7 linked regions of the Macaca fascicularis genome follow. The protein of the gene in region 1 purifies or fractionates together with the protein of each later gene. This does not show direct contact. Links are inferred from orthologs where the notes say so. Each region holds a gene or a part of one and is shown in the gene's direction. Other genes may lie near its edges.

Evidence for each region.
Region 2: the proteins of FAF2 (region 1) and UBL4A purify together in Homo sapiens (affinity purification with mass spectrometry; 3 studies listed by BioGRID and IntAct, with this or other methods). This does not show direct contact. The link is inferred for Macaca fascicularis from reciprocal best matches to the Homo sapiens genes FAF2 and UBL4A.
Region 3: the proteins of FAF2 (region 1) and DERL2 purify together in Homo sapiens (affinity purification with mass spectrometry; 5 studies listed by BioGRID and IntAct, counting the BioPlex papers as one, with this or other methods). This does not show direct contact. The link is inferred for Macaca fascicularis from reciprocal best matches to the Homo sapiens genes FAF2 and DERL2.
Region 4: the proteins of FAF2 (region 1) and DERL1 purify together in Homo sapiens (affinity purification with western blotting; 4 studies listed by BioGRID and IntAct, with this or other methods). This does not show direct contact. The link is inferred for Macaca fascicularis from reciprocal best matches to the Homo sapiens genes FAF2 and DERL1.
Region 5: the proteins of FAF2 (region 1) and AMFR purify together in Homo sapiens (affinity purification with western blotting; 9 studies listed by BioGRID and IntAct, with this or other methods). This does not show direct contact. The link is inferred for Macaca fascicularis from reciprocal best matches to the Homo sapiens genes FAF2 and AMFR.
Region 6: the proteins of FAF2 (region 1) and SETDB1 purify together in Homo sapiens (affinity purification with mass spectrometry; 3 studies listed by BioGRID and IntAct, counting the BioPlex papers as one, with this or other methods). This does not show direct contact. The link is inferred for Macaca fascicularis from reciprocal best matches to the Homo sapiens genes FAF2 and SETDB1.
Region 7: the proteins of FAF2 (region 1) and UBAC2 purify together in Homo sapiens (affinity purification with western blotting; 7 studies listed by BioGRID and IntAct, with this or other methods). This does not show direct contact. The link is inferred for Macaca fascicularis from reciprocal best matches to the Homo sapiens genes FAF2 and UBAC2.

The regions. Positions count from the first base shown.
Region 1 is NC_088380.1:183,396,207-183,400,135, forward strand, and holds part of FAF2 (FAS-associated factor 2), read left to right. Parts: intron 1-857; coding exon 858-1,035; intron 1,036-3,633; coding exon 3,634-3,805; intron 3,806-3,929. UniProt on the Homo sapiens protein: Plays an important role in endoplasmic reticulum-associated degradation (ERAD) that mediates ubiquitin-dependent degradation of misfolded endoplasmic reticulum proteins.
Region 2 is NC_088395.1:160,486,258-160,490,809, reverse strand, and holds UBL4A (ubiquitin-like protein 4A), read left to right. Parts: upstream 1-1,586; 5' UTR 1,587-1,630; coding exon 1,631-1,678; intron 1,679-1,881; coding exon 1,882-1,987; intron 1,988-2,235; coding exon 2,236-2,444; intron 2,445-2,562; coding exon 2,563-2,673; 3' UTR 2,674-4,478; downstream 4,479-4,552. Other genes in the region: SLC10A3 (P3 protein), read left to right, coding at 1-709. UniProt on the Homo sapiens protein: As part of a cytosolic protein quality control complex, the BAG6/BAT3 complex, maintains misfolded and hydrophobic patches-containing proteins in a soluble state and participates in their proper delivery to the endoplasmic reticulum or alternatively can promote their sorting to the proteasome where they undergo degradation.
Region 3 is NC_088390.1:5,551,011-5,555,557, reverse strand, and holds the start of DERL2 (derlin-2), read left to right. Parts: upstream 1-1,386; 5' UTR 1,387-1,412; coding exon 1,413-1,505; intron 1,506-2,350; coding exon 2,351-2,416; intron 2,417-4,547.
Region 4 is NC_088382.1:132,671,519-132,675,447, reverse strand, and holds part of DERL1 (derlin-1), read left to right. Parts: intron 1-43; coding exon 44-139; intron 140-1,319; coding exon 1,320-1,372; intron 1,373-3,517; coding exon 3,518-3,628; intron 3,629-3,929. UniProt on the Homo sapiens protein: Functional component of endoplasmic reticulum-associated degradation (ERAD) for misfolded lumenal proteins. Forms homotetramers which encircle a large channel traversing the endoplasmic reticulum (ER) membrane.
Region 5 is NC_088394.1:52,463,564-52,467,492, reverse strand, and holds part of AMFR (E3 ubiquitin-protein ligase AMFR), read left to right. Parts: intron 1-957; coding exon 958-998; intron 999-1,160; coding exon 1,161-1,293; intron 1,294-3,044; coding exon 3,045-3,178; intron 3,179-3,929. UniProt on the Homo sapiens protein: E3 ubiquitin-protein ligase that mediates the polyubiquitination of lysine and cysteine residues on target proteins, such as CD3D, CYP3A4, CFTR, INSIG1, SOAT2/ACAT2 and APOB for proteasomal degradation.
Region 6 is NC_088375.1:110,286,134-110,290,062, reverse strand, and holds part of SETDB1 (histone-lysine N-methyltransferase SETDB1), read left to right. Parts: coding exon 1-459; intron 460-736; coding exon 737-853; intron 854-3,929. UniProt on the Homo sapiens protein: Histone methyltransferase that specifically trimethylates 'Lys-9' of histone H3. H3 'Lys-9' trimethylation represents a specific tag for epigenetic transcriptional repression by recruiting HP1 (CBX1, CBX3 and/or CBX5) proteins to methylated histones.
Region 7 is NC_088391.1:90,109,177-90,113,632, forward strand, and holds the start of UBAC2 (ubiquitin-associated domain-containing protein 2), read left to right. Parts: upstream 1-1,509; 5' UTR 1,510-1,513; coding exon 1,514-1,931; intron 1,932-3,098; exon of another isoform or gene 3,099-3,178; intron 3,179-4,456. UniProt on the Homo sapiens protein: Restricts trafficking of FAF2 from the endoplasmic reticulum to lipid droplets.

The DNA.
Region 1 (3,929 bases):
AGCCTCCCAAGTAGCTGGAATTACAGGGATGTACCACCATGCCCTATTAATTTTTGTATTTTTTGTAGAGATGGGGTTTCATCATGTTGGCCAGGCTGGTCTCAAATCCCTGACCTCAAATGACCCAACCACCTCGGCCTCCCAAAACTGCTGGGATTAAAGGTGTGAGCTACCAGCCCAGCCTCAACTTTCTATTAATAAACTTCTTTGGAACAGAAAAACTAACCTTTTTACGGGTAGAGAAAAGATACATGGGGAGAAAGGGTAAGGAAAGGATTAGGCAAGAGAAAAAAGACTATGGTGGAGATTATCATCAGTATCATCAAGCTGAGACTTGCAGCCTTGTGCCCTTTTAGGTTTGAGCCCTTGTACAGGGAAAAACTGCCAGATTCTTTATAGATCCTTTTCCTACCATCAAGTAGACATTATCCTTGAACTCTGCAGCCTTCCCTGGCATCATCACAACAACCACACCGCCACCAGGAAAGCCTGTCTTATTCTAGTCAAGCACCTAGGGATAGGCATGCAAATTGATAACAAAAACAAAAGATTACAAAACTGGGAGGAACTAGGCATGGTGGCACACGCCTGTACTCCCAGCTACTCAGGAGGCTGAGGTGGTCAGGTCACTTGAGCCCAGGAGTTGGAGACCAGCCTGAACAACATAGTGAGACCCTGGCTCAAAAAAAGAAAAGAAAGAAAGAAACTAGGAAGTGGGGAAAGGCAGAGACCAAATGATACCTCCCGTCTTCCTCAACCAGGATTAAAATAGTTCTCTCTCACTCATTGTGAAAAGTCTAAGGTTGATCTTTTTCACCGTCAAGTCCTGCCCTTGATCTGTTGGGTCTTTTTGTCAGTCTCACAGGCTTTACGAGAGAACACCTATCCATTCCTGGCCATGATTATGCTGAAGGATCGAAGGATGACTGTGGTGGGACGGCTAGAAGGCCTCATTCAACCTGATGACCTCATTAACCAACTGACATTTATCATGGATGCTAACCAGACTTACCTGGTGTCAGAACGCCTAGAAAGGTACAAGGGAGTTCCCTTCTGGAACAGAGAGAGACCAGTTGTAAATTTGGAGGGCTGACCTGGGGCTCTACCAGTACTGACTTCTTCTGTGCATCAGGCCACTGTTAGCTTTTAGCTTTGCCCATTTATCGTCAAAATATTTACATAGTTTGACCTAAATTACTCTATATCAGGTAATCTGTTCTTAGAGATGTTCAAAATAAAGACAAGGGCTGGGTGCAGTGGCTAACACCTGAAATCCTACCACATTAGGAGGCTGAGGCAGGAGGATTACTTGAACCCAGACTGGGCAGCAAAGTAAGACCCCATCTCTACAAAAAATAAGAAAAAATTAGCCAGGCATGGTGGTACATGCCTGTAGTCCCAGCTACTTGGGAGCCTGCGGTGGGAGGATTGCTTGAGGCCAGGAGTTGGAGGCGGCAGTGATCTCTGATTGTGCCTCTGCACTCCAGCCTGGTTGACAGAGCAGGACGCTGTCTTTAAAAAATAAATGAATGAATAAACAAAATAAAGACAGGCCTCTATGCTCAAGAATGTACATTGTGGTATTTAGAATAGCCGAATACAATATAAAGAACTTTGATGTAAAAAAAAAAAGTGGAATGGCTATAATTCCTCTCCATTACATAAGTTATGTACATTAATTATAGGAAATCCTAAAACCACAAAAAAGCACAAGGAAGAAATTTAAAATCACTGATAATCCTGCCACCACTTGAACATTGTTTTTTTTTTTTTTTTTTTTTTTTTTTTTTTTTTTTTTTTTTGAGACTGAGTCTGGCTCTGTCGCCCAGGCTGGAGTGCAGTGGCCGGATCTCAGCTCACTGCAAGCTCCGCCTCCCGGGTTTACGCCATTCTCCTGCCTCAGCCTCCCGAGTAGCTGGGACTACAGGCGCCCGCCACCTCGCCCGGCTAGTTTTTTTTTTGTATTTTTTAGTAGAGACGGGGTTTCACCGTGTTAGCCAGGATGGTCTCGATCTCCTGACCTTGTGATCCGCCCGTCTCAGCCTCCCAAAGTGCTGGGATTACAGGCTTGAGCCACCGTGCCCGGCTTGAACATTGTTATATATTTTTTTAATTTTACACACAACACACACCCCTCTATATGTACACATTTATTTGTAAAATTGGGACAATACTTTTTTACAACCCTTCTTCATGTAAGAATGTATCACAGCCTTTTCCCTCATCATTAAATATTCTGCCACATTTTAAAAATTACTGCATAACATTCTATTATCTAAATACATCATAATTTAACCAGGCCATTCTTTTTGGATTTTTGGATTACTTTCTGTTTGTTGCTATTATAAATAGCATACATGGAGATAATTTTTTGCAATTTGTGATGGTTTCCTTAGATTAAAATTTAAATTCCTGAAAGTACAGTTTCTGGGTGAGACAATATAAGTATATGTTTACGACTTTTGATTTGTAATGCCAACTTGCCCTCAAGAAAGTTAAACAAACTTAAATTTATGGAAAGCTTTTAATAACATGGGGACATGCTTGTTACATATTAGAAAAATGCAGAATCAGGCCGGGCATGTTGGCTCATACCTGTAATCCCAGCACTTCGGGAGGCTGAGGTAAGAAGATCACTTGAACTCAGGAGTTTGAGGTCAGCCCGGGCAACAAGGTGAAACCCCATCTCTACAAAAAATACAAAAATTAGCTAGGCGTGGCGGCACACGTCTGTAAGCTGAGGTGGCAGGATTGCTTTAGCCTAGGAGGTTGAGGCTGCAGTGAGTCATGATCGCACCACTGCACTCTAGCCTGGGTGACAGAGCAACACCCTGTCTCCAAATAAAAGAAAAATGCAAGGTCAAAACCCTATAAATATAGTGTTATTTTAACTGTGTAAAAAAATGTATAGAAGAGGAAACTTTCTGAGGTAACTGAAATGTTCTTTCTTGATTGAAGTGGTGATTATGTGGTTACATTTATCAAAATTCATTGAATTGTACATTAAGACCTGTGCATTTCATTGCATGTAAATTTTGTCTTAATTTTTAAAGAAAGTATAAAGCAAGAATGTTTTATCTGTTCAACTATTTTGATTGGCTAAATATTTTGGGTAAGACAAAACAGAAATTTGTTGGAGAGAAAATAGGAGCTATGCCAAATGTTATATAGTGTTTTATCTTTGATTAGGGAATCTCTGAATCACTCTGAAAACTCTACATTTTCAGATCTGCTACAATGTGTATATGGATGTATATGTGTGTGTTTTGGTTTTATGAGATCAGTACAAAAATGCAGTAACCCAAAATATGATGTTGATGATCCCTTCATAATAACAGTACTGTGTTACATTTGTTAGAATTAGGGGAAAAATTTTATTGTAAAAGAGGAGAGGACAACTTGCTGTTTTCTTTTCTGCCAAATTAAACTGAGATAAAAGGTGGCTTATTCAGATTCTGCCATGCTTTGCTTTTGGAATCCCTTATGGCAGTGTGAAATAGTCATCTGCTAAGAATATCACTGTTTTTACACACACACACGCATGCACACGCGCACACACAGAAAATTTCAGTATAAGAAAACAGAACTTGTGAGAGTGCTGTTTTTCTTCTCTTGCTTTTGATCTGTTCACAGGGAAGAAAGAAACCAGACCCAAGTGCTGAGACAACAGCAGGATGAGGCCTACCTGGCCTCTCTTAGGGCTGACCAGGAGAAAGAAAGAAAGAAACGGGAGGAGCGGGAGCGTAAGCGGCGGAAGGAGGAGGAGGTGCAACAACAAAAGTTGGCAGAGGAGAGACGGCGGCGGGTAACGGACCTGTGACTTTACTCCCTGTGGTTCCCAAACTGCCGAGACTTTGCCATCTTGGTCTTAAGTGTAAAAGGAATAAATGATAGCCACTTTAAACAGACTAAGAGAAAAACAAAAGGAA
Region 2 (4,552 bases), on another chromosome or scaffold:
CCTCATGGCCAAAGTCTTCATGCTGCCCAAGGCCCTGGCTCTGGGCCTCATCATTACCTGCTCATCGCCTGGCGGCGGAGGGAGCTACCTCTTCAGCCTCCTTCTTGGAGGGGACGTCACCCTGGCCATCTCCATGACTTTCATCTCTACGGTGGCTGCCACTGGTTTCTTGCCTCTGTCTTCAGCCATCTACAGCCACCTGCTCAGCATCCATGAAACACTCCACGTGCCCATCTCCAAAATCCTGGGCACCCTGCTGTTCATCGCCATCCCCATAGCAGTGGGCGTGCTGATCAAGTCCAAGCTCCCCAAGTTCTCCCAGCTGCTGCTGCAGGTCATCAAGCCCTTCAGCTTTGTGCTCCTCCTGGGCGGCCTTTTCCTGGCCTATCGCATGGGGGTCTTCATCCTGGCAGGCGTCCGGCTACCCATCGTACTGGTGGGTATCACAGTGCCCCTGGTTGGCCTGTTGGTGGGCTACTGCCTGGCCACATGTCTGAAGCTGCCTGTGGCCCAGCGGCGGACGGTCAGCATTGAGGTAGGGGTGCAGAACAGCCTGCTGGCCTTGGCCATGCTGCAGCTATCCCTCCGCCGCCTTCAAGCTGACTATGCCTCCCAGGCCCCCTTCATTGTGGCGCTGAGCGGCACCTCCGAGATGCTGGCCTTGGTCATTGGCCACTGCATCTACAGTAGCCTGTTCCCAGTTTCCTGAGGCCTCTGGGTCAAGCTTTCATCAGCCCCAGCCCCCACACTCCACCAAAGTTCTCATGCACTATGCACTCAGAAAAATCCAGGCTTATTTTTTTTACTGATTTTTTATTCTCCAGCTTTCAGTGCCACAGAGGCCATGCTGAGTTAGGTAGGTGGGCGCTGCCCAGAAAATATATTTCAATAAAACAGAGAAGCAAGCTTGGGTCCCTTCTAATCTTTGCCCTTTGGGGCCTGGGCGTGGGGGTAGAAAGAGTGTGCTGGGTAGGTGTGGACCAGGGTGGAGGGCCAGCTTGGGTGACACGGTGACCCCTGCATAGGCTTTCTCTATCAGCCCTCCCGGGGCGTGTCCCCACTGTAGGAGAGGTGGGAGGATGAGGGCAGAGGCTGGCCCCCCACCCCCTCTCAAGCTCAGTGGGGTGTTTCGCAGCCAGACCAGAAAGGAGGAGCCAGAAAGCCACCAGGCAGGGAGCCGGGGGCAGGGGGGCCGTCTGTGGGTATGCAGGGCCAGGTTCCGCCAGCAGTAACGGCGCGTGGGGTGGTCCAGGCAGTCTGCGGGGGCGAGCGTACCTTCTGGTCCTTCTCCATTCCCTAGCTCCCAGATGACGCCAACCTGGCCCGACTAGTTCCTGCTCCCAACTCCCCGGCGCTGTTGCTTTGGGAGGGGTCCGCCGGCCAGGGCGGTCGCTGCGCGTGTGCTAGGCGGGACCCCAGGGGCACTCCTCCCGGGGTGCAACTGGGCCGGGGGGCGGGGCCGGGGCGTGGACGAGGCAGGAGGGCGGGGCCGGGAAGCGCGGGCGGCGGGCGCGCCCCTCTCGCTGCTTCCGGCGGCGGCGGGCGGTTCCAGCGCGCGCCCGGGGCGGCGGCGCGCGGCGGGGGGTGGTTGGGGTGCGCGCCGGCCCGAGTGGACGCCGTCGCGACCGCCATGCAGCTGACGGTGAAGGCGCTGCAGGGCCGGGAGTGCAGCCTGCAGGTAGGGTCCCCGGGCCGGGCGGCCGGGTCCGGCGCGCTCTCTCGCCGGCTCCTGGCAGGGTGACCAGCAGGGCCAAGGGCGGGCACGGGGCGGCCGGGCCGGGGACTGGGAGCCGGGAGAGCTGCCCTCGGGAGCGGACGCGTGGGCTTCGCCGCCTGGGGACCGCGGCCTCAACCCTTGCCTCCCACCCTCCGCGCGGCCAGGTGCCGGAGGACGAGCTGGTGTCCACGCTGAAGCAGCTGGTCTCCGAGAAGCTGAACGTCCCCGTGCGCCAGCAACGGCTGCTTTTCAAGGGCAAGGCCCTGGCAGGTACCCAGGGAGAGGAGACGCCCAGGGAGCCCCGCAGGAAGCGGGACTGGGGTGCGCGGGCCGAGGCCGGCAGCCGTGTAACGGGTTGGGGTGCCGGCGCCAAGCGCCACATGACCCCAAGGGAGGCGGCCGCATGCCTCACTGCCGGATGCCGCAGCGCTCCGCTCCCGCCGCCCGAGGCGGTCTCGCGTCCCGGGCCACCCCCACGGCGGCGGAGGAGGAGGAACCCATCGATCTGTCTTTGGCAGATGGGAAACGACTCTCGGATTATAGCATCGGGCCCAACTCCAAGCTCAACCTAGTGGTCAAACCCCTGCAGAAGGTGCTACTAGAAGAAGGCGAGGCCCAGAGGCTGGCCGACTCCCCACCCCCGCATGTCTGGCAGCTAATCTCCAAAGTCTTGGCCCGCCACTTCAGTGCGGCAGATGCCAGCAGGGTCCTGGAACAGCTACAGAGGGTGAGAAGGGTAACCCTGGGTATCCTCTCCAGGCCCAGTTCCTCCCAGCCCCTACCTCTGTTGCAGTGTATGGCTCCCCACTGGCAGCCCCTGAATCTTCCTGCCCTTCTCTCCCCAGGATTACGAGAGGTCCCTGAGCCGCCTGACGCTGGACGACATCGAACGGTTGGCCAGCCGCTTCCTGCACCCTGAAGTGACTGAGACGATGGAGAAAGGCTTCTCCAAATAGCATTCTCGGAGCATGGGGAGGTGCCCAGTGCCAGGCCACAGCAGCATGTCGCACTAAGTGTGTTCACCTGTTGCAGTTGGGCTCATAATAATAGCTGGCATGTACCTGGCTCTGGCCACGTGCTAGGCACTCCTCACAGCTTGACCTGGGTTTGCTTCCACACCCTCAGAAGAGGTGAGCCAGCACAGCAGAGGCACTGGCGGTGAAGTGGCGGAGCCCCAGTCGGAATCCAGCGGCTTCTGAAAGTGCCTTGGTGTGAGAAGGAGGAAGGGGCTGCTTGGAGAGCTGGGCTCTGGCATGTCATGTTTAGCCCACTGAGAATATACCCTCAGGTGACTCCTTCCCAATCCTGAAAGGGAAAGCAGCTGTCACCTGACCTCTGGCGGGTCCAACATAGCCTTCAGCTTACCACTGCAGGAGGCCAAGTGACAGCCAGCCCTGGAACCACCACACCCCCACCAGCTGCTGCAGCCAGTGTGCTTTCGACAAATGAAAAAGCAGGTTGGGGCCAGGGAGTCAGCAAGTCACCCCAGCTCTGTGATGTGACTTCGGGGGAGTCTCAGTGCCACTTTGGTCCCCAGCCACGGACTTTATACAGTGAGGGCCACTCCCCGACCTGAGTCAGTGTCCTTCGTCTCACAGTGCCCCCCTCCCTTCTGTTCAGTAAACAAACTGAAGCCAAAAGCGAAGCAGTGGCCAAGTGTGACCCAGAGATGGGGTGTCCTGGCCCTTAGTGACACAGCTCCTCTCTGGGCACCCTGTCTGCTTGTCTCCTCCAGGAAGCGTTAGGGCTGATGGGTGACTCAGCAAGGCAATGTCAGAACTGGGACTGGGCGTAGGCCTTTGTCCTCGTCCCCAGCACTCGCCTCCCTGTGGAAGATGAACACATCAGCCACCTGTGTACAACCGCTCACTTCGTGTGCTCCTTGTTGCCTGAGAGGAAACCTTGGGGTGCCAGGGTGGGGACAGAAACATGGGCTGGGTTCCGGTTCCTTCTCCACTGTGCCCTGTGCATGGGCACAAGAGGACATCTAGCCACCTGCTCCTTGGAGGCCCCCAGGGGTGGTAGAGGCTAGAAGGAAGCCACAGCAGGAGGACGCCACTCTGGGCCCTCCACCCTTGCCAAGTGAGCCGCTCACAGTGTGGTCGGGGCTGCACGTGCTGGAGGCCCTCCTGCCTGGGCCTGATGGGGCAAATATTGGGTCCCCGGGCTGGAAAGATGGACAGAGGCCCAATGGGTGAAGGCTTTGAAGAGCACACAGAAGCCCCTGGCCCCCCACGAGAGCTGGAGAGCCATGTATATGGCTTCAAAGCCACCTATGGCAGGGACACACTTGTGAGCATGGGCGGCCTGCAGCTCAGGTGATACATTTACCAGTGCTCTTGTTTGCGTGGTGCCAGGAAATTGATTTTGGAAAATGAAATAACATTAAAGGTGAATGTGAGACTTCCACTTTTATCCAAAAGGAGCTATATTAGCTAGGCTGTTTCTGATATCCAATCATTGGTTTAACAATAAAGGCAATTTGTTTAATCAATAACGGAAATTTCTTGGCTTATGAAAGTGAAAAGCCCAGTGGTATCGGCATTGGCAGCAGGGGAGCAATTCTTCCAGTGTCTTCCTGCCTCCCTCTGCGTTTGTGTCTGCCACATCCCAGGCCACCACCTCCAAGGATAAAAAGGTGGCTGCCTGCAGCTTCCACAGAATCCCTCCCTCACTGCCTCACTGCCAGAGCAGCACCTTCTCTGTAGCACCTCTGCTGTCTCAGATGCCTCCAGCAAATAAACACCCTTGTTGGTCGGAACTGGATTGTGCGTCCAATCATTTTGGCCGGGGTAGGGGGTGATTATCCGTCAGGGCTGGCTTCCTGGAGCTAGG
Region 3 (4,547 bases), on another chromosome or scaffold:
CGGAGGTTGCAGTGAGTCGAGATCGCACCCCTGCACCCCAGCCTGGGCAACAGAGTGAGACTCCGTCTCAAAAAATAAAATAAAATAAAATAAAAATTTACGTTTGTAATGGCTAAATATAGAGTGGTTACAACTGTTTGGCCGTATATGTAAGGTAGGATTTCTGTTTTGTTTTTTTTTTTTGTGAGACGTGTTCTGGCTCTGTCACCCAGGCCGGAGTGCAGTGGCACAATCACGGATCACTGCAGCCTCAACCTCCCGGGTCCAAGCAATCCTCCCACCTCAGCCTCCCAAGTAGCCAGAACTACAGGTGCAGGCCACCATGCCTGGCTAATTTTCTTGTTGTTGTTATTTTTGTTTTTGTTTTTTGAGACAAAGTCTCACTCTCTCGCCCAGGTTGGAGTGCAGTGGTATGATGTTGGCTCACTACAACCTCGGCCTCCTAAGTTCAAGTGATCCTCTTAGCTCAGCCTCCCACGTAGCTGGGATTACAGATGTGCGCCATCGCTAACAACAAAAAATACACTTCCTTGATTAACTCCTTCCTTTTAATTCCCATCAGGACCTCTCTTCGGGCACTGGCTGATAAACTTCTACCGCCTCATCTTCTCTGCTAGACTTAAAGAGTTCCTGAAGGCAGAATAAATGTGGCTTGATCAGTATTTGCCGATTCAACGCAGAGGTGCCCAGGCCATCTTAGTGAGTTAAGCGAAGACCCGGCGATCGCGCTGGACAGGACCCAGAAGCCAGAGCGCCGGAACTTCCGGCCGGCTCCCGGCATCCGTCGGGCCCCGAGCCCGCGCTGCATGCTGGGACCTTCAGGTTGGAGCCCGCTGTAAGGCCGACCCACGGGCCGCCGCGCTCCCTCGCGATGCCGCCTAAGCCAGTCTCGCCCGTCCCCGCTTCTCCTCAGAGAAAATGCTGCCCTGCAGTACTTACCGGAGCGACCATGAGGGTCACGAATTCGAGCACACACAGGCTTCCCGCCACCTCCTTTAAACCGCCGCTGGCTTGCCAGCGACAGACGGCGCGGTTGGCTCCCCAAAATTCCGACTGATACGCGCCTCGGCGAGCGAAAGTAAACGCGGGATACTCTCGCGTTCCTGATTGGCTGGTTGGGGACACGTCAATTATGACAGAAAGGGGCCGGGCGGGAAAGTTAGCTGTGGCCGGCGGGGATTGGCAGAAGGAACCTGTACTTGGGGCGCTGGGGGGGGCGGTGGCCACGCAACTCGTGATTGGCGGATGTGCCTTCCTTAAGTCTCTACGGATTGGCGGCTGGCCGATTGCTTGGCGTTGATTGGGCAGCCGCGGGAACCCTAAAGCGGGCGCGGGGGAGGCCTTTGTCCCGCCCAGCCGCCGGGGCCTGCTGGCGGAAGGGGAAGTGAGGGGGGCAGGCGACGGTGGGGAAGATGGCGTACCAGAGCTTGCGGCTGGAGTACCTGCAGATCCCACCGGTCAGCCGCGCCTACACCACGGCCTGCGTCCTCACCACCGCCGCCGTGGTGAGCAGCTGCAGTGCCACCTTCTCATTATCTGGGCTGGATATGACTGGGTCTTCAGGAAACTGGGGTTTGGGCTTCGGGGAGGCCCAGAGGGGCTGGTCCCGGGGATGGTTGGAGACGTACAGGGATTACTCTGGGGTTCGAGTTGGCGCCGAGAATGCTTATCCAGTGACCTGAGAAGGGAGTGCTGCTTCATGGGGGGTCAGGTCAGTTTCTAAGAGATGAGGGCCGGACCTATACCGGGTTAGGGTTGCGGGAGCCTCCCACCCGAGAAATGTGTCCGAGAGCTCTGCCAATGGCCAGGTGGTACCGTGGTGACTAGTGAGAGGAAGGTCCGTTTTATGAAGAAACAGGAATGAGGAAAGCAAGGTGGAAACTGTCCAGAGGGGAGTGGCTTATAATAAAGAGGGTCTCTGGGTAACAAAGGGCTAGCTGGAGGTACCCAGCCCCAACGGTGGCAGGGTCTCGAGTCTCCGTTATTTCAAGTGAGTTTTGTTGTTTCACACGGCTGTTTCAGGTGGTGCCCATGTGGTGGGTAGATTCATAGCAGCTGTTTTTATTTGTCCTGTGTCTAAAATATCACCACCTGTCTGCCTCATTTCTTCATGTCAGCCTCAACTATTGCAACATAAACTTTTTTGTGTTAGGTATTGAGGATACAAAGAATTCTACCAATTCTAGAGAATTCTTTACCAACCTCTTCCTCTGGCCTAAGAAGAAAGGCTTAAAGAAAATCAGTAATTGACCGAGAGTTGGAAATTGCTAGACCTACTAATCCTTTGTTGTAAATGATGAAATTTTGTTTCTTGGTTGATTTGCTTTAAGAAGCTCTTTTTCTATTTCAGCAGTTGGAATTGATCACACCTTTTCAGTTGTACTTCAATCCTGAATTAATCTTTAAACACTTTCAAGTAAGTGGTTCATCACAATAGTGATTAATGCTTCAGTTTCTTCTTTTACTTACTGTTTAGTAGCAAATCCCGTTGTACACTATCCTAAAAAAGAACCCCATGGGGGACCTTTGATTATAAGTTGTCTTGTCAGGATGTAAAGCAGTGATTCTGCAGCCTGGTTGGACTTGAGAATCCCTTAGGGAACTTTGAAGAGATTCCCAAGCTCCTCAACAAGTACCAAATCAGAATTTGCAAGGGTAGGAATTAAAATCTGTGTTTCATTTTTAAAGTTCCCTGCATCGTTTTGATGTGTCCAGTTCCTGTATTCGGAAATCACTGGTTTAGACTTAATGTTGTAGTATGAGAGGAGAGTGACCAGCTAGCTGCTTAGGGGTTGTCTCTGCAGGGATGGCCTTATTTTGTCCATTCACCACCTAGGCACGCCCACCACCTTGGTGTTATCATGATGGTCCAGAAACTCAATTCTGTTAGTGCTTTTAAATTGTGATCTGTCTTCCAGTGATCAGATCATACTAACAAAATTCCAAACATCTAAAGCTATGTGGTGGTTTATTAGATTACAGTGGGAGATGGTCCTTTCCGGTGATTAAAATGTCAAAAGAGGCTGGGCGCAGTGGCTCACGCCTGTAATCCCAGCACTTTGGGAGGCTGAGGCAGGCAGATCACCTGAGGTCAGGAGTTCGAGACCAGCCTGGCCAACATGGTGAAGCCCTGTCTCTACTAAAAATACAAAAATTAGCCGGGCGTAATGACACATGCCTGTAATCCTAGCTACTGGGGAGGCTGAGGCAGGAGAATCACTTGAACCCGGGAGGCGGAGGTTGCAATGAGCCGAGATTATGCCAGCCTCTGAGACAAGAGCGAAACTCTGTCTCAAAATGCTAAAAGAAACATGGATTTTTCTGTTCCAAGATGATCTTACAGACCATAGTTGGAGTAGGGGAGAGACCCAAAAGCCAATAATTGTGCCTCTACACATGCTGTTCCCTCTGTCTCAAATGTGTTTCGTTCACTTTATACCCATTGAACTCTGGCTTGCCTTTCAAAACGCAGCTTTTGTGTAACCTTTATGTACTCATCCTCCTTTGTTTTAGAGCATCTCTCACCTTTACTTTGCAGTTATGTGTATGCTTGTCTCCTCACTAGGATGAGGACTCTAAAATCTGGGTAATTAATATGTAGAACTGAATTGTTTCAACTTTAATAGTTACCAATTCTCAAGAATTTAGTGATTTGTAAAGTAGTCTTGTCATCTCTTGTCACTGTGTTCCCACAATACTCACATGGAGCTGTAGTTCCATCCAAGTAAGTCTTGCTTCCTACTTGGCTTGCTTGGTTTTACTCTGCCTGGGGTTAAACTGTTAAACTCTTGATGACATTTGGAGTTAGGACTTTGAGATTTGCCATCAGTCTCCATCTACTCCTGCGGGTCCTTGGTCAGGACATTTAAAAGTTCAACTTTCAGCTGAGTAACTAGTGTTCAGCTAGTAGTTCAACTTTTAGCTGAATAACTAGTATCAGCTAGTTATTCAACTTTTAGTCTTTTAGTTTCCTATCTGTGAATTAACTTGCTTGTCTCACAGAATCACAACAGATAGTAGACATTTTAAAATGTTAAGCACTCTACCATTGTGAGTGGTTACTGTGGGTGTGGAGAGGTTGGGTAGGGAAGGGTGTATCAGGGTTTCCAACAAGAAAATGAGTGTTTGGCCGGGCGCGGTGGCTCACGCCTGTAATCCCAGCACTTTGGGAGGCTGAGGTGGGTGGATCATTTGAGGTCAGGAGTTTGAGACCAGCCTGGCCAACATGATGAAACCCTGCCTCTACTAAAAATAAAAATATTAGCCTGGTGTGGTGGTGCACACCTGTAATCTCAGCTACTTGGGAGGCTAAGGCAGGAGAATTGCTTGAACCTGGGAGGCAGTGAGCTGCGATTGTGCCACTGTACTCCAGCCTGGGCGACAGCGAGACTCTGTCTCAAAAAAAAAGGAAAAAGAAAATGAGTGTTCTTGTATCTCCCAAGTAGACTGTAATTATTAGACCATTAGTTCTTACAGGGAGTTGGCCATTTGTTCAGATTAGAACTTGGGTATTTGCCTTAGAATTTTCCCTTCTGGCCAGGTGCAGT
Region 4 (3,929 bases), on another chromosome or scaffold:
GTGCCTCTGGAGCTTGGTTTTTACATGTCGACTTCTTTTGCAGTTGCTGATGATTCCTCTGATCATGTCAGTACTTTATGTCTGGGCCCAGCTGAACAGAGACATGATTGTATCATTTTGGTTTGGAACACGATTTAAGGTACTTTACCTTGATTGGAAGTGTCCTTTTCATTTGTCTTTGCAGAAATCCCTCTTCAGTCCAGAGATGTACTTTCTGACTCACCCAGAAGAGGTCACTGCAGAGCAGTGTACCATAGGCAAGCCCCTTTCTGCCCTCCTCAATCCCAGCTCTATTTAATTAGCCAACCTGGAGTCTGTTGCTGGCTTTTGTTTTTTCACTCCCTCTCTACCTCAGGCCCCTCAGGGATATGTCCCTGAGTGATCTTATGTGTCTGTGTTAGAGAGAAGGAGAGAGAACTCATGTGAAACCCTGCCTTTACAAATCAGTTCTTATCACTCCCTCATTCCCTGTTATTTGCTTTATACTGTAGCTGAAACAGACTGTTTTTGCCCCCAAACACTTCTCTTTGTACATTCTTTCACAGTTTTCCACCTGTAACATCTTGATTCTCTTTTTCGTGTAAATCCTGCCCATTCTTAATTTGAATTGGAACTGAACATATTTCCTGAGTCTCCTGCCTATACTTCATCTTACCTTTGGGCTTTTTCAATACTTTGTGTTTCTCTTTAGTACTTACCACATGTAGCTGTAAAGTTATTTAAGTATAACCCTCTCTTTCCTAGTTTGTGAAGTTTCTTGCAACTCCTTTAGCTCTTGATATGATGGCTTGGATTTGGTAAGGGGCTCAAATGTTCATCTGGAGAGCTTTCTTATTTGGGACAGTATTAGTTTAAGATATCAATATGTGATGAGATAAAAATTCAGAGTAATTTTGCAAGATATATAAAAGAAGAACTTGAAAAGATGAGGTATGTTTATTTTATTTGTAACAATTTGTTGGCTGGAATCTTAGTGTGATTCTGTCATGGGCCTTGCTTTTAGTAGCATCTGTGGGACACTCATCTGCTTTTTGAAGCTGTTTGTTAATAGCAATTCAGCAGGGCCTGTATTGCAGCAGACCTGTGGGCAAAGTACTGTGTCCTTCCAGTTACAAATACACAAGTAAGTCTAGTTTTAGATAGGAAGGTTTAAGTATAGTGGGAATAATGCTAGATTGATTTGAGAAATTTTGCAGTGACCTTCCAGAGGATTTATATAAAGCCCTTGTCAGTGTATCCTTACCCATTTTAGTCCCAGTAGTAGCTGTGTCCTCGTCAGGTGTGGCTACTCACATTTGCATATATTTATTCCATCCTAGGCCTGCTATTTACCCTGGGTTATCCTTGGATTCAACTATATCATCGGAGGCTCGTAAGTGATATTAGATTTATTTAATTGGAAACTAATCCTTGGGAAATTTCCATTAGTTTTTATCTTTCTCTAACCTTTATACAACTTTAAAGAATCCCAACATTGATGCATTAGAACCTTGTACTTATGGGATAATTTTACTTCGATGGAATTGATTAGATTGCGGGGCTTTAAGCACATTTAACATTGAATGGTTGCGATTTTGTTAACTTATTGTTACACATAGTGTGTTCCTATGTGTGTATAGGAATAAATATGTATTTCTGGATTCACTATTCAGATTGACAGAGACCTAATTTTTGTCTGAGTTGACTCCTCTAAGAGCTATGTATAAAATTACTATGTCTTATATTCTTAAGGCATTTCCAGAATGCCTTGGAGACTGCCGATCAGTCATAGAAATCCAGATTCTTAGATAGGATATAATTTTGCAAGTGGTTTCATAGTATAGAACTTTTTTTTTTTTTTTTTTTTGAGATGCAGTTTCACTTTTGTCGCCCAGGCTGGAGTGCAATGGTGCGATCTTGGCTCATTGTAACCTTTGCCTCATGGTTCAAGCGATTCTCCTGCCTCAGCCTCCTGAGTGGTTGGGATTACAGGCACCCGCCTCCACGCCCGGCTATTTTTTTTATTATTTTTATTTTTTTTATTTTTAGTAGAGACGGGCTTTCACTGTGTTTGCCAGGCTGTTCTCAAACTCCTAACCTCAAATGATCTGCCTGCCTTGGCCTCCCAAAGTGCTGGAATTACAGGCGTGAGCCACCGTGCCTAGCTGATAATACAGAGCTTTTGGCCAACCAGGGTCAAATATCTAGTCTATTGGTCAGGAATTAGAACTAGACATAGGAATACCTTTAATTCATCCAGTCAGAATTTTAAAGGGAGGGTACTAAGATGGAGCTTCTCTAAGAACTCCCATTTCTTCATATTTTCTGTTTATTTATTTACTTATTATTTTTTTTTTTTTGAGATGGGGTCTCGCTCTGTCACCGAGGTTGAAGTTCAGTGGCACGATCTTGGCTCACTGCAACCTCTGCTTCCCAGGTTCAAGCAATTCTCATGCCTCAGCCTCCCGAGTAGCTGGGATTACAGGCGTGCACCACCACACCCAGCTAATTTTTGTATTTTTTGTAGAGATGAGGTTTCACCATATTGCCCAGGCTGGTCTCAAATTCCTGACCTCAAATGACCCTCCCGCCTTGGCCTCCCAAAGTGCTGGGATTGCAGGCTTGAGCCACTGCACCCCACCAGAACTCCCATTTCTTATACTACAAACTACTTTTTAATATTTCAATCGATTTTTATAGTGCTGGTTCTTCATGTATCTGACATACTTGCTCTGTGTGATCCTGACTTCTTCTGCATATTGTTGGGGAGAAGAGAATGAATGGAGCGGACTGTTCAGAGCAAAGCATGTTCTGAACTTGGTAAAGCTGCTCTTCCAGCCAGGAAGGCGAAGTCTAAAGTAGTTGCAGGTGTTGATTTGTCCCTGACAGGAATCATGTTGCAGGTGAAGACAAACAGGATATGTAATAGTAACAGTAGATCTATACACTCTTGAGGTGACCTGTGTGTAAGCCATGGGAAAACTGAAGAAGGTCAGCGTTGATTTCAGGGTGCAAGTCAGCTTTCCTAAGTGATCTCTGTGGTGTCTTACACTCAAGGGTACAAGAGGCAAGAGAGAAGTGCTTAATAGTTCCAGGAAATGGGGAACAGGCATTTATTGTTCCTCTTTTCCTTACTCCCACGCTTCTCTCTTGGTAGCCTTCATGTTTGCCCACATTTTATCAATACAGTATTCATGACTGAAGCATTCAGAAGCATGCTTTACAACTTCCCCAACTCTTGAGGCAGGAAGTAGCAAAAACAATATTTTGAGGATGGGCTGGTGCTTGAAAGAGATGTCGGAGGGGCTGCTGGCCTTGAAGAGTGGCGGGCCTCATTGGTTCAGCAGGACTGATTTCCCGGCTCCCTCAGAATGCGTTTGCCACTCGGACTACAAAAGGGCTCATTGTCAGCTCTCACAGACTCCCAGGGACTAAATGGTCTGCCTTGAAGGCTCTCTTCTTTATGATATTAGTTAAAACTTGGTTCGTTTCACTATATTGCTTGAATGTCTTTAAACTCATTTGGCTCTCTTTGCAGGGTAATCAATGAGCTTATTGGAAATCTGGTTGGACATCTTTATTTTTTCCTAATGTTCAGATACCCAATGGACTTGGGAGGAAGAAATTTTCTATCCACACCTCAGTTTTTGTAAGTGTTTTTGTCCTGTCTCATCTAACATTTTATTGCCTGTGTTCTTAATACATCCTAATAAGAGCTCCATGAGGAGTATGATTTAGCCCCATGCCCCATCTGATGGAGTAACCTAAGGCAACAAATGACTTATCCTCGTCACATAGTCACCGGAAGTCAGGCATTAAAGCCTTGGCTCCATTGCCTTCTTGTTACTCTTTTAGCCAGGGACCACTGACAGCTAGGTTCCAGCATTACAGGAGGCTTCTCAGCCCACCGAGCCTGCCGAGGGACCCGATGCAGCTCCAGAGTACGAAGC
Region 5 (3,929 bases), on another chromosome or scaffold:
CTCTACAAAAAAAAAAAAACAAAAAAAGTCACAAGAGGCTTATTTTGTCTGCCCCTCCCCTCCCCCCTTCCCCTTCTCCCCTTCCCCCTCTCCCCTCTCTCTTCTCTTCTCTCTTCTCTCTTCTCTCTTCTCTTCTCTTCTCTTCTCTTCTCTTCTCTTCTCTTCACTTCTCTTCACTTCTCTTCTCTTCTCTTCTTTTGCTTTTGACAGAGTCTAGGGTCTGGCTCTGTCACCCAGGCTGGAGTGCTGTGGTGCAATTTCTGCTTACTGCAGCCTCCACCTCCCAAGCTCAATCCATCCTCTCACCTCACCCTCCCAAGTAACTGGGACTACCGGCACGTGCCCCCATGTCCATCTAATTTTTGTATTTTTTTGTAGAGATGGGATTTCACCATGTTGCCCAGGCTGGTTTTGAACTCCTGAGCTTGAGCAATCCTCCTGCCTTGGTCTCCCAAAGTGCTGGGATTAAAGGTGTGATGTGGCTGGCCTTATTTTGCTTTTGCTTGCTTTCATTCTTTTTTCTGCTGGTGGACAAAGGGAGTGCACAAAGCACTAGGGAGAGAGCAGGTCCTCATGTCTACGATAGCAGTACCTGAACTATACTTGGAGTTACAGCATCACCCTTCTGAGTAATCAGTGATAGTGACTTAATGCTGTGTGAAATAGAATTGATGGTCAAACTACCAGGATAAACCTCAAGATTGTAGGGGGATTCCCAGGGGATAGGTGTAATTGGTTGTCACTTATTAACAGGACTTTTCCTCAATAAAAGTTGAGTTTCTATGTCATAAAAATATTTTATGGAACTTTGAAGCAGAGAAAATAAAATAATGGGTAAACTTGAACAATCTGCTTTTTAATTGAACTGAGAAATGTTTGTCTTTTATCATTTTATAAAAATAAGTTTGGTCTGAGCAACGCTAAATTTTACTAAAAAGAAAATATCCTTTTTTATAGTCTCTTCTTGTGACAGTGAGGACTGCACATGTGATTTTACGGTGAGTGAAACTGGAGAGGGAGGTGATTGAGGCCTACTCATACAGTTGATTTTAAGATGTAGCAGGTATGAAATATATAAAAATCTGACTAAATTACAGTATGATTAAACCAAATTCAGTTGTAACAGTAAATTACTAAGGTGTTTTCTCTCTTCATTACAGATACGTAATTCACCTCTGGGACCTCAATCACGAAGGGACGTGGGAAGGAAAGGGGACGTACGTCTATTACACAGACTTCGTCATGGAGCTCACTCTCCTGTCCCTGGACCTCATGCACCATATTCACATGTTGGTAAGTTTCCTCAGAAGAAGCTCTAACAGAGGGCAAGCCTTTCAGAATCAGGAACAGTAATGGTTTCTTTATTAAAAAATGAAACTTTAGGAATAAGATGCGGATGGACTACTTAAAAGACTAAAAATGAATGTGGCTGCAAACCCTCCCTCTTTTTGCCACTGGGTGTAAGGCAGTGCCGTGGAATTGCTTTGGCTGGTGCCTAACTCAGGAGGTGTTTGTTGTCCTGGGAGACTTAGTTAACTCTGCTGACCAAGTCAATAGATTATTCTTTTAGCATGAAAGTAAGGAGCTGCCTTTCCCCAGTTTCTATGGCTTTAAATATTTAGCAGTTACTTTGTAGGTGGTAATGGGAATTCCTGCAGTGTTAGCTACTTCATGGATTCATACATTTTCCATCTTTGTAATTAAAAAAAGTCTTTATACTTAATTCCTACATTCCTACTACCATCATTGTTTACATTTTACTTTGATATGTTAGAAGTTACAGTGTCATAGATCTGCTTCATTGGTTGGCCTTTCAGTGATCTAGTAATGGTGAGAATTAAAATAGTTGGTGGGCAGTTTATTTAAATTATAAGCCCAGTAAGTATCATTTAAAAATTATTGGGCTAGACATGGCATATTTCTAAGTCTGCTTTTTGAAAGAAACTTTGAAAACATACTTTTTAAAGAAAGCATGTAATTCTTTTTTTTAAAAAAAGAGGCTCGGCCGGACGTGGTGGCTCACGTCTATAATCCCAGCTACTGGGGAGGCTGAGGCAGAGAATTGCTTAAACCTGGGAGATGAAGGTTGCAGTGAGCCGAGATCGCACCAGTGCACTCTAGCCTGGGCGACAGGGTGAGACTCCATCTCAAAAAAAAAAAGCCTCCCTCCCCCCTCAAAAAGGGGACAAATGGCCAAAGATAACTCTTAAGATTTTTTTGTCTTCTTTTTTTAAATTTTAATTTTTTTCCTCATGCTTGTTTCCTGAAGATTTTGTTGTGTTTAACTGCTTCTTTTAACAGTTTTCTTTTTATGTATTTGAGTACATACCTTCATAAATTGAGATATTTTAGACATATAGACATATAGTTTTAAAAATGTATTATGAACATTTTCCTATGCTAGCATCAGTTCTTCTAAGCCGTTTTAATACTTTCAGGATAAAAATGTCTTCAGATAGCTGTACCATGATTTAATAAACCACATCTCACAGTGGGTTATTTAGATTATATTCGGTTGTTTGCTATTTCACATTTTTACATATTTTTTATCATGTATTAGTTTGATAAAATTAGTTATATCTTGCTTTTTTTTATTTATCTAATATAGTCTTCCCATAATTGACCTTCAGAACTGTTACATATACAAATATAATAGTGTAATATGTAGTTGTATAATATAAATAAATGTAATTAATGAGTATATAATTTTACATTATATAAGTTTACAACCTAACTGTTCTTCTGCTGGACATTTTGTTCATTTTCATATTTTCTCTTTTATAATTTCATGGATAGACATCTTTTTGCATAAAGCTTTTCCATTTCTGATGAGTTTCTCAGGAAAGATGACTGGCAGTGGAGCACCTAGGCAGACGAGGATATGCCTTGTTTAGAGTAATGAGATACATCTGTGTATTTCCTTTCTGAAAAATATTGCAGTTCACCATCGCCAACAGTGAAGAGCTTCTGCTGCATACTGCGCCTTCATCACTAGCAAGTTCATGTTCACTTTTACCGTGTATTTTACTCTCTTTCTTTCTAAGTTATTTGGCAACATCTGGTTATCCATGGCTAGCTTGGTCATCTTTATGCAGCTTCGTTACCTGTTTCATGAGGTGCAGCGTCGAATTCGTCGGCACAAGAACTATCTGCGTGTGGTTGGGAACATGGAGGCCAGGTGAGGAAACATAAGTTGATGTTGCCTAAGTTTACTCATTTTAGCTTTTTAATAACAACAGATTCCAGAGTATGTCAGAATGCATGTTTGTAAACTGCTAACAGTGGTGGAGAGGAGAGGCTCTGGAGTCAGACTGCCCGGGTGTGAATCCCCGCTTAGGTGCTGGGTGATTTGGGGCAGTTTACTTCATCTCTAAATTAGGGATGAAAACAGAACCTTCTGCCTGAACCTTTGGGAGAATTTGGTGAGATAATTCGTGTATTTAGAATAGTACTGGGCACGTAGTGCTCAGTATTAGGCTCTTATTCGTCATGATTTTATTGTCATTATTATCAAATAGACGCTTCATTGGGCTTCTGTCCTGCTCATTTCGTGAAAGTGGGTCTCAATTATTCTCTGCATATGCATGTTTACACACACATACTTAACCTCATTGAAGGAGGCACTCTTTTGCCAAGCTGAGGCTAAACCATGCCTGGAGGTGCAAGATTAATGGGTATCCTCTTTGTGCCCAGGGGGACAGCCTGGATCACTTCTTTGTGGCCAGGGACACAGATTGGATCTCTGGGGGCCTTACTTCTCTGATTTGTCTGGATATGTTCTCCGATGTCTTCACTAAAAGCAGTCATTGTTATTATTACTATTTTGGAGACGTCGTCTCGCACTGTCACCAGGCTGGAATGCAGTGGCGCAATCTCGGCTCACTGCAACCTCCGCCTCTTGGGTTGAAGCGATTATCCTGCCTCAGCCT
Region 6 (3,929 bases), on another chromosome or scaffold:
AGTCAGACCTATGAGGAATGAGCAGTACCGGGGCAAGAACCCTCTGCTGGTTCCATTACTGTATGACTTCCGGCGGATGACAGCCCGGCGTCGAGTTAACCGCAAGATGGGCTTTCATGTTATCTATAAGACACCTTGTGGTCTTTGCCTTCGGACAATGCAGGAGATCGAACGCTACCTTTTCGAGACTGGCTGTGACTTCCTCTTCCTGGAGATGTTCTGTTTGGATCCATATGTTCTTGTGGACCGAAAGTTTCAGCCCTATAAGCCTTTTTACTATATTTTGGACATCACCTATGGGAAGGAAGATGTTCCCCTATCCTGTGTCAATGAGATTGACACAACCCCTCCACCCCAGGTGGCCTACAGCAAGGAACGTATCCCGGGCAAGGGTGTTTTCATTAACACAGGCCCTGAATTTCTGGTTGGCTGTGACTGCAAGGATGGGTGTCGGGACAAGTGAGTTGGTGGGGAGAATTGCTGCCCCTGCTTCCAACTTTGTTATGGTTGTCTTCCTTTTCACCTCTTCCTTTCCCTTGTATCTGTACTGCTTTCCCCATCTTCCTTTACCTCCTCCCTCACCTGGAACTCGTGCTATAAGGCCTCCATGAAAGCTATGAGGTAGGGAGACTGGAGTCTGACATGGCCACACTGAGCAACCCTGGGTACATGTGTATTGTGTTATTTTGTTCTCTGATCCCCCCGCTCCTTTCCTTTATTTCTCTCTGTCATATAGGTCCAAGTGTGCCTGCCATCAACTAACTATCCAGGCTACAGCCTGTACCCCAGGAGGCCAAATCAACCCTAACTCTGGCTACCAGTACAAGAGACTAGAAGAGTGTCTACCCACAGGGTAAGTGGTCAAGGAATAGCACAATACCTCAGAGAGACTGAGGAGCATGTTCTTGTTTTTCTCTGCTTATAGAAATCATCAGAAATCTGAAAATTGGAACCAAAAATAGAATACCAGAAGAGGCATTTTTTTTTTTTTTTTTGAGACGGAGTCTCGCTCTGTCGCCCAGGCTGGAGTGCAGTGGCCGGATCTCAGCTCACTGCAAGCTCCGCCTCCCGGGTTTACGCCATTCTCCTGCCTCAGCCTCCCGAGTAGCTGGGACTACAGGCACCCGCCACCTCGCCCGGCTAGTTTTTTTTTTTTGTATTTTTAGTAGAGACGGGGTTTCACCATGTTAGCCAGGATGGTCTCGATCTCCTGACCTTGTGATCCGCCCATCTCGGCCTCCCAAAGTGCTGGGATTACAGGCTTGAGCCACCGCGCCCGGCCTAAGAGGCATTTTATTAATTAGATCTTATTTCCTGACTTCTCAAACACTTTTTTTCTTGGGCTTTCCTTGAAATGAAGACATAGGATGATTGAATAGTGTCTAGCAATTTTCTGTTGCAAAAAAAGATTATCTTAATTTCATAGCTAAATGAATGTCTTAACAGATTATGATTTACTCTTGTAAGTGACGTGTTCAGAGAGAAGTAGGCAGGGACTTGATTACATAGGGATTTATAAACCAGAATGAAAAAAGTTAGAATCAGGCTGATACAGTGGCTCACACCTGTAATCCCAGCACTTTCGGTTGCCGAGGTAGGTGGATCACCTGAGGTCAGGAGTTTGAGACCAGCCTGGCCAACATGGTGAAAGCCTGTCTCTACTAAAAATACAAAAATTAGCCAGGTGTGGTGGCGGGCGCCTGTAGTCCCAGCTACTCGGGAGAGTGAGGCAGGAGAAGCGCTTGAACCCAGGAGGCAGAGGTTGCAGTGAGCCGAGATCGTGCCAGTGCACTCCAGCCTGGGTGACAAGAGCGAGACTCTGCCTTAAAAAAAAAAAAAGAAAGAAAAAAGAAAAGTTAGAATCAAATTCATGGTGCTCTTAGAGAATTTTAAGCAGCCAAGTGATATGACCTACCTTTTTCAGATTACTCTGGCTTCTTTGTAGATCATAGGTCTTAGGATGGCAAAAGTAGATCTTGGAAGACCAATTAGGAGATCATTATAGGAGTATAGCAGAGAAAGACATGGTTGTAGCTATGGCTTGCAATAGAATGGAGGTGACAGTAGAGGTAAGAAGGATAGATTTGGGATGCATTAATAGGTAGATCTACAGAATTGGATAGATTGTGGAGTCGGGGGAAAAAGTAGAAGCAAAGACAATTCCTAAATTTTTGACTTGAGCATCTAAGTGGTTTTTGGTGCTTTTTACTGAGATGGAAGACCAAAGGAGTAATAGGTTTGAGTGAAATTCAGTTTTTGTTTTGGCCATGTTAAGTCCGAAATGCCTGTGAGGCAATCCAAGTAGAAACGTCAAGAAGGCACTGGGATTTCTGGAGAGAAGTGTAAGAGTTGGATATAAAAATTTAGGAATCATCAGCACAGGAATGATATTCAAAGCCTGGATGAGTTCACCTAGACACAACGTTGATAATAGAGAAGGTGGCTCAGGAGTAAGCCCTGGGTCCACCAACATTTAAAGGTTGAGCAGAGGAGGTAGAACCGGCATGAGTTTGAGGACAGCTACTGAGGAGGGCAAGGCCGAAAGATTGCTTGAGGCCTGGAGTTTGAGACCAGACTGGGCAATATAGTAAGACCCTGTGTCTAAAAAAAAAAATTGTTGGGGCCAGGAATGGTGGCTCACGCCTGTAATCCCAGCACTTTGCGAGGCCGAGGCAGGCAGATTGCTTGATGTCAGGAGTTCATGACCAGCCTGGTCAATATGGTGAAACCCCATCTCTACTAAAAATACAAAAACTAGCCGGGGATGGTGGCGAGCACCTATAATCCCAGCTACTTGGGAGGCTGACACAGGAGAATCACTTGAACCCAGGAGGAGGAGGTTGCAGTGAGCCAAGACCGCACCATTGCACTCCAGCCTGGGCAAGAAGAGTGAAATTACATCTCAAAAAAAAAATGGTTGGCCAGGCACAGTGACTCACGCCTGTAATCCCAACACTTTGGGAGGCCAAGGTGGGTGCATCACCTGAGGTCAGGAGTTCAAGACCAGCCTGGTCAACTTGGTGAAACCCCATCTGTACTAAAAATACAAAAATTAGCCAGGCATGATCACGCACGCCTGTAATCTCAGCTATTTGGGAGGCTGAGGCAGGAGAATCGCTTGGACCTGGAAGGCAGAGGTTACAGTAAGCTGAGATTGCACCACTGCACTCCATCCTGGGCAACACAGCAAGACTCTGTCTCAAATAAATAATTTAAAAATAATTTTTTTTTTTTTTTTTTTTTTTTTTTTTTTTTTTTTTTGAGATGGAGTCTTGCTCTGTCACCCAGGCTGGAGTGCAGTGGCATGATCTCAGCTCACTGCAAGCTCCACCTCCCGGGTTCACGCCATTCTCCTGCTTCAGCCTCCCGAGTAAGTAGCTGGGACTACAGGCACCCGCCACCATGCCTGGCTAATTTTTTGTATTTTTAGTAGAGACAAGGTTTCACTGTGTTAGCCAGGATGGTCTCGATTTCCTGACCTCATGATCCGCCCGCCCCAGCCTCTCAAAGTGCTGGGATTACAGGCGTGAGCCACTGTGCCTGGCCTAAATTTTTTAAAAATTAGCCGGGCATGGTGGGTGCATGCCTGTAGTCCCAGCTACTTGAGAGGCAGAGGCAGAAAAATCACTTGAGCCCAGTAGTTCAAGGCTGCAATGAGCTATGATCACGCCACTACACTCTAGCCTGGGGTGACAGAGCGTGACTCATCTCTAAGGAGGAGGACAACAAAAGAGTGGAGTATAGCATGGTAAATTGGTATATATAAACACATGAACTAATAAACATAGTGATCAAGATACATAATTAACAAAACAGTGAGGAGAAAAGCATCAGTGAAATAATTCAGAAAGTGTCCCATAATTGAAGGGTCTGTGTTTCTGAATTGAAAGGGCCAATTAGGTCCCAAAATAATGAAGGATAAAGGTAGA
Region 7 (4,456 bases), on another chromosome or scaffold:
TGTCAGGCGCCTGTAGTCCCAGCTACTTGGGAGGCTAAAGCAGGAGAATCGCTTGAACCGGGGAGGCAGAGGGTCTCCGTGAGCCGAGATCGCGCCACTGTACTCCAGCTGGGGGGAGAGAGGCTCCGTCTCAAAACAAACGAACAAAAAAAAGACTGAAAATGAACTTTACAAATAAAGCCTAAAGAAGCAAATAAAAGTCATACTTTTGCCTTCTAAAAATAATCAATGTTAACATTTTGGCCCACTGGAACCTCTCTTTGAGGGTAGGGACTGTTGATCTACGAATCTCAGATTTAGCACACTGGCTGGCACTTATGAGCACTGAAAAAGCTTTTTTTTTTTTTTTTTTTTTTAAAGTACTCCATAGCCCATCCCTTTCATTTAGCTGGGTAGTGTGGTCAATTTCCCCATAATATACATTCTTACATAATTGTATGTATTTCTGGGGTACAGTGTGATGTTTCCATACATAAACACATTGTGCAACGATCTAATCAGCGTAATTAGCACATCCATCACCGAAACACTTGTCATTTCTTTGTGGTGAGAACATTCAAAATCCTCTCTTCTAACTATTTTGAAGTTAACATTATTGTTGAGTATAGTCATCCAAATGTGCAAGAGAACACTAAAACGTATTCTTCCTAACTGTAACTTTGCGCCTGTTGACCAGCCTCTCCCCTTCCTCCCTCCCCACTAACTCTCCTCTGTACAAGAATCACTCTTTTACTCTACTTTTACGAGATCAACTTAAAAAAAAACTTTTTAAAACGACTGCATAATATGCTTTCATGCTCACACTCATTTAAAAACCGTGACTTTGGCTGAGTAACTTCATTCTTCTAGGGGAAAAAATTTAAATGGTCTGAGTACGGAAGCTCTCCGGGAAGCTCGCCAGGGCACAAGTGCTGGGTCGCTCCGCCGGGCTCGCCGCGCCGGGGACCCCCAGACACCCGCCACCACGGCGGGGAGGGCAGGGTGCTGACTCCTGGGGCCACGACACTCGGCTCCGGTGGTGGGGATTCCGCGCGGGACCCACGAGGGAACAAAGAGGCGGCTGGACGGCCCAGCTCTCCGCACCCGGAGGGACCTGTTCCACCTCTCCGGCTCCCGTACCCCTCCATCCGCATCTGAGTGACCAGATCCCACTGCAGTCAACAGCCCGCGGGGTAGCCAGCTTCGAGGGACCGCCCGGAAAGACACAACGCGCGGGGAAGGCGCCGGGCGTCCAGTCTCGGGAGAGATTAGAGATGGCGTTCCTGCCCAGCGCCGGCAATCCAGAGGAATCCGCGGCCATCGCGGATCCACTAGAGGTGAGGCGGCACTGAGCCCAAGTGTGAGGCTCCCGGGAGCTACGCCTCCGCTGCCCCAGTGCCACCCGTTTTTGCCTCAGGCGGCTCTGACCGCCATCGTTTCAACCTGGAGAGATGGGCCCTCCCCTACGGACGCACTTCCCTTCCCCGGCAGGAAGGAGGGTGCTGACCCAGGGGGCACACGCCCCTGGCTGCGCATGCGCCATTCATCCGCGGCGAGTGGCCTCGCGGAGCCGGATTCGTCGTTCCGCCGGGAGTGCGCCTGCGCGGTCGCCGGGGCTCCCACCTCAGCTTCCCCTCCCCCGGCCCCCTCGGGGGCTCCGAGCCCGGCGGGACCATGTTCACCAGCACCGGCTCCAGTGGGCTCTGTGAGTACCGGCCTCCGCCATTCTGGCTGCCCCCTGCACGCTACCCTGGGCACCTCATTGAGGAGGCGGGGGCAGCGGGGACCCTCGGGTTTGCCGGAGGTGGTGGGGCCGACCCTCCAGACTGGCGTCCGAACCCTGCTAGTTCCTGGTCTTGGGGGGGTCAGCGGAAACCGTCTCCATTTCGGCCTGGAGGGGCTAATGGGAACAAAGCCCCGCTGCCCGCCCGGACCCCACCTGGCGTCCCCAGGTGCGATGCCCAGGAGTCTCTTGGGGCCGCTGCAAGTGGGCAGGTGCCCTGGTGTTCTCGTGGGCCGGCCCCAGGCCCTTTGCGGCGCGTGTGCCGCGCTGAAGGAAGGGGCGGTCCCCCTCATCTTGCCCCATTCATTTAGGCTCCTGGGGGACCGAATTGACTCCCCCCGCCCCCACTTGGCAAAGTTCAGCCTCCGCTTTAGAAGCTGACCTCTCAGTTTCACTTGGATGTGTTTCTTCTCCAGTCTCCAAGAAGAGTTTTTAGACAAACAAACACTGATGAGAGTGCTTTCAAGTGGAGGGAAGTTAGGAAGTTGTGGCGAGGGAGCGCAGCTGTGCTGCTGGATGTTGCTGTTTTCTTGGCGTGTTAGCGGTGGTCAGCAGGTAGGGGGCGGAGAAGTGTTTTTACAGCCAGTTGAACGGCTTTTCTCACTGACACTGAGTGTGTGGAATTGACTTTGCGTACGGTAGACTGCGTGTTAACAGTTAGGCACGGGTACAGCAACGGAGAACTGCTCTAATTTTGCAATTGCTTGTCACTGTTCATACTCCGTGTGAAGTTAATGCTGCTGGAGGACAGAAACATCTGACATTTCCAAATATTAAAGATCTGTTGGGAATGTCATGAATCTTCTGAGAATACGTGTCTTGTCTTATAGTCTGACAGTAAGTTAGTATCAGAGCCACAGGCATGATTTTAAATCTTCCTCACTTCTCAATTTCTCAGGTTTTGAAGTGGTTTCAGTATTTATGATTCCTTTTGTTTCATAATTAATTTGATTTATGGCATCTTTCATGCATTGGTCCCAGAGTATGTTACAACTACTAACTAATCTTCCCCAGCCTGGCTTGGTGGCTCATGCTTGTAATCCCAGCACTTTGGGAGGCCAAGGCAGGCAGATCACCTGAGGTCAGGAGTTCGAGACCAGCCTGACTAACATGGAGAAACCCTATCTCTGCTAAAAATACAACATTAGCGGGGTGTGGTGGTGCATACCTGTAGTCCCAGCTACTCGGGAGGCTGAGACAGGAGAATTGCTTGAACTCGGGAGGCGGAGGTTGCAGTGGGCCAAGATTGCGCCATTGCACTCCAACCTGGGCAACAAGAGTGAAACTCCGTCTCAAAAAACAAAACAAAACTAATCTTCCCCAAACTACCCTGTAGATAAAGAGCGTTATGACTGTTGCTGAAGCTGACAGCTCAAGAAGGCGGTGTGGTTTTCCTGGGATCATACAGTGAGCCAGGTACTGGTGGTTATGAAATTAATGGTAGAATTATTCAATTTCTGTTGTTCTTTAGCATTTAGATCTATTCTTGCTAGCCAAAGTACATAGAAAAAATTTGAAGGGCAAGAGAAATCTGTTATTGGTTGCTGTACTATATTAGCCATGAGATTATATTGGCCAAGTGTATTCAAATTTGATACAGGGCGACTGTGGGGAAGATAATATTTTATTATCTATGGCGCATGGTGGTGAGTGTTGAATTCTAGGAATCAAACTGTTGCCCAGGGAGAGACCTAGGCCCAGAGCCCCTCTGCAGCTGTCTTGGCCTGTTTCTAAAATTAAGTGCCTCTGCAGTGTAAGAGTTGTTGGGATGGCCGTTCCTCAGAAGGCTGTGTCTTACATGCTCGTTTTACAAACATTTTGGGCATCTCCTCTGGGCAATGAACTGGGCTAGGTGCTGGGAATGCAGCAATGAGCAGGTCCTGGTCTCAGTGCTTATGGTGCTGACGGAGCTTGGGCACAGTTTTCCAGGACTGGTCATTAGAAAAGGCTGTGTGTCAGCTTTAACATTTTTCTCTGGAGAAGCTACCCACTGAGGGGGAAGTGATTTCCTTCGTTTTATTTATTTATTTATTGAGATGGAGTCTCACTCTGTCACCCAGGCTGGAGTGCAGTGGCAGATCTCGGCTCACTGCAACCTCCACCTCCCGGGTTCAAGCGATTCTTCCCCCTCAGCCTCCAAAGTAGCTGGGATTACAGGTGCCCACCATCACACCTGACTATTTTTGTATTTTTAGTAGAGACGGGGTTTTGCCGTGTTGACCAGGCTGGTCTTGAACTCCTGACCTCAAGTGATCCTCCCTCCTCGACCTCCCAAAGTGCTGGGATTACAGACGTGAGCCACTGCCCATGATTTCCTTTAGATAAGTTGAGGGACCCTTTAGCAAATCAAAATTCTGATCCTGAGTAAGAATCTGAAAGAAGGATGACACGTGTGCCTATCCCCACCCCCATGGGTGGTGAATAACAGTCCCTTTCCAGGGAGAAATCCCTGACATTTCCTGCCACCTGCATGTTTCTAACGTTTTGTGGTTAGTAGATAATAGTGATTTAGTGTTAAACTTGCCTTTCTCTCTCAGCCATTCAACAAGTGTCTGTTGAGTACCCATAGCAGCCACACATTGTTGATATACAGAGGATAAAGTAATAAGCAGGATAAAGGAGACCAGCATCAAACAGGTCAGTGTGATTCACATAGTGACAAGTGACATGAAGACAATGAAAGGGTAACTGCAA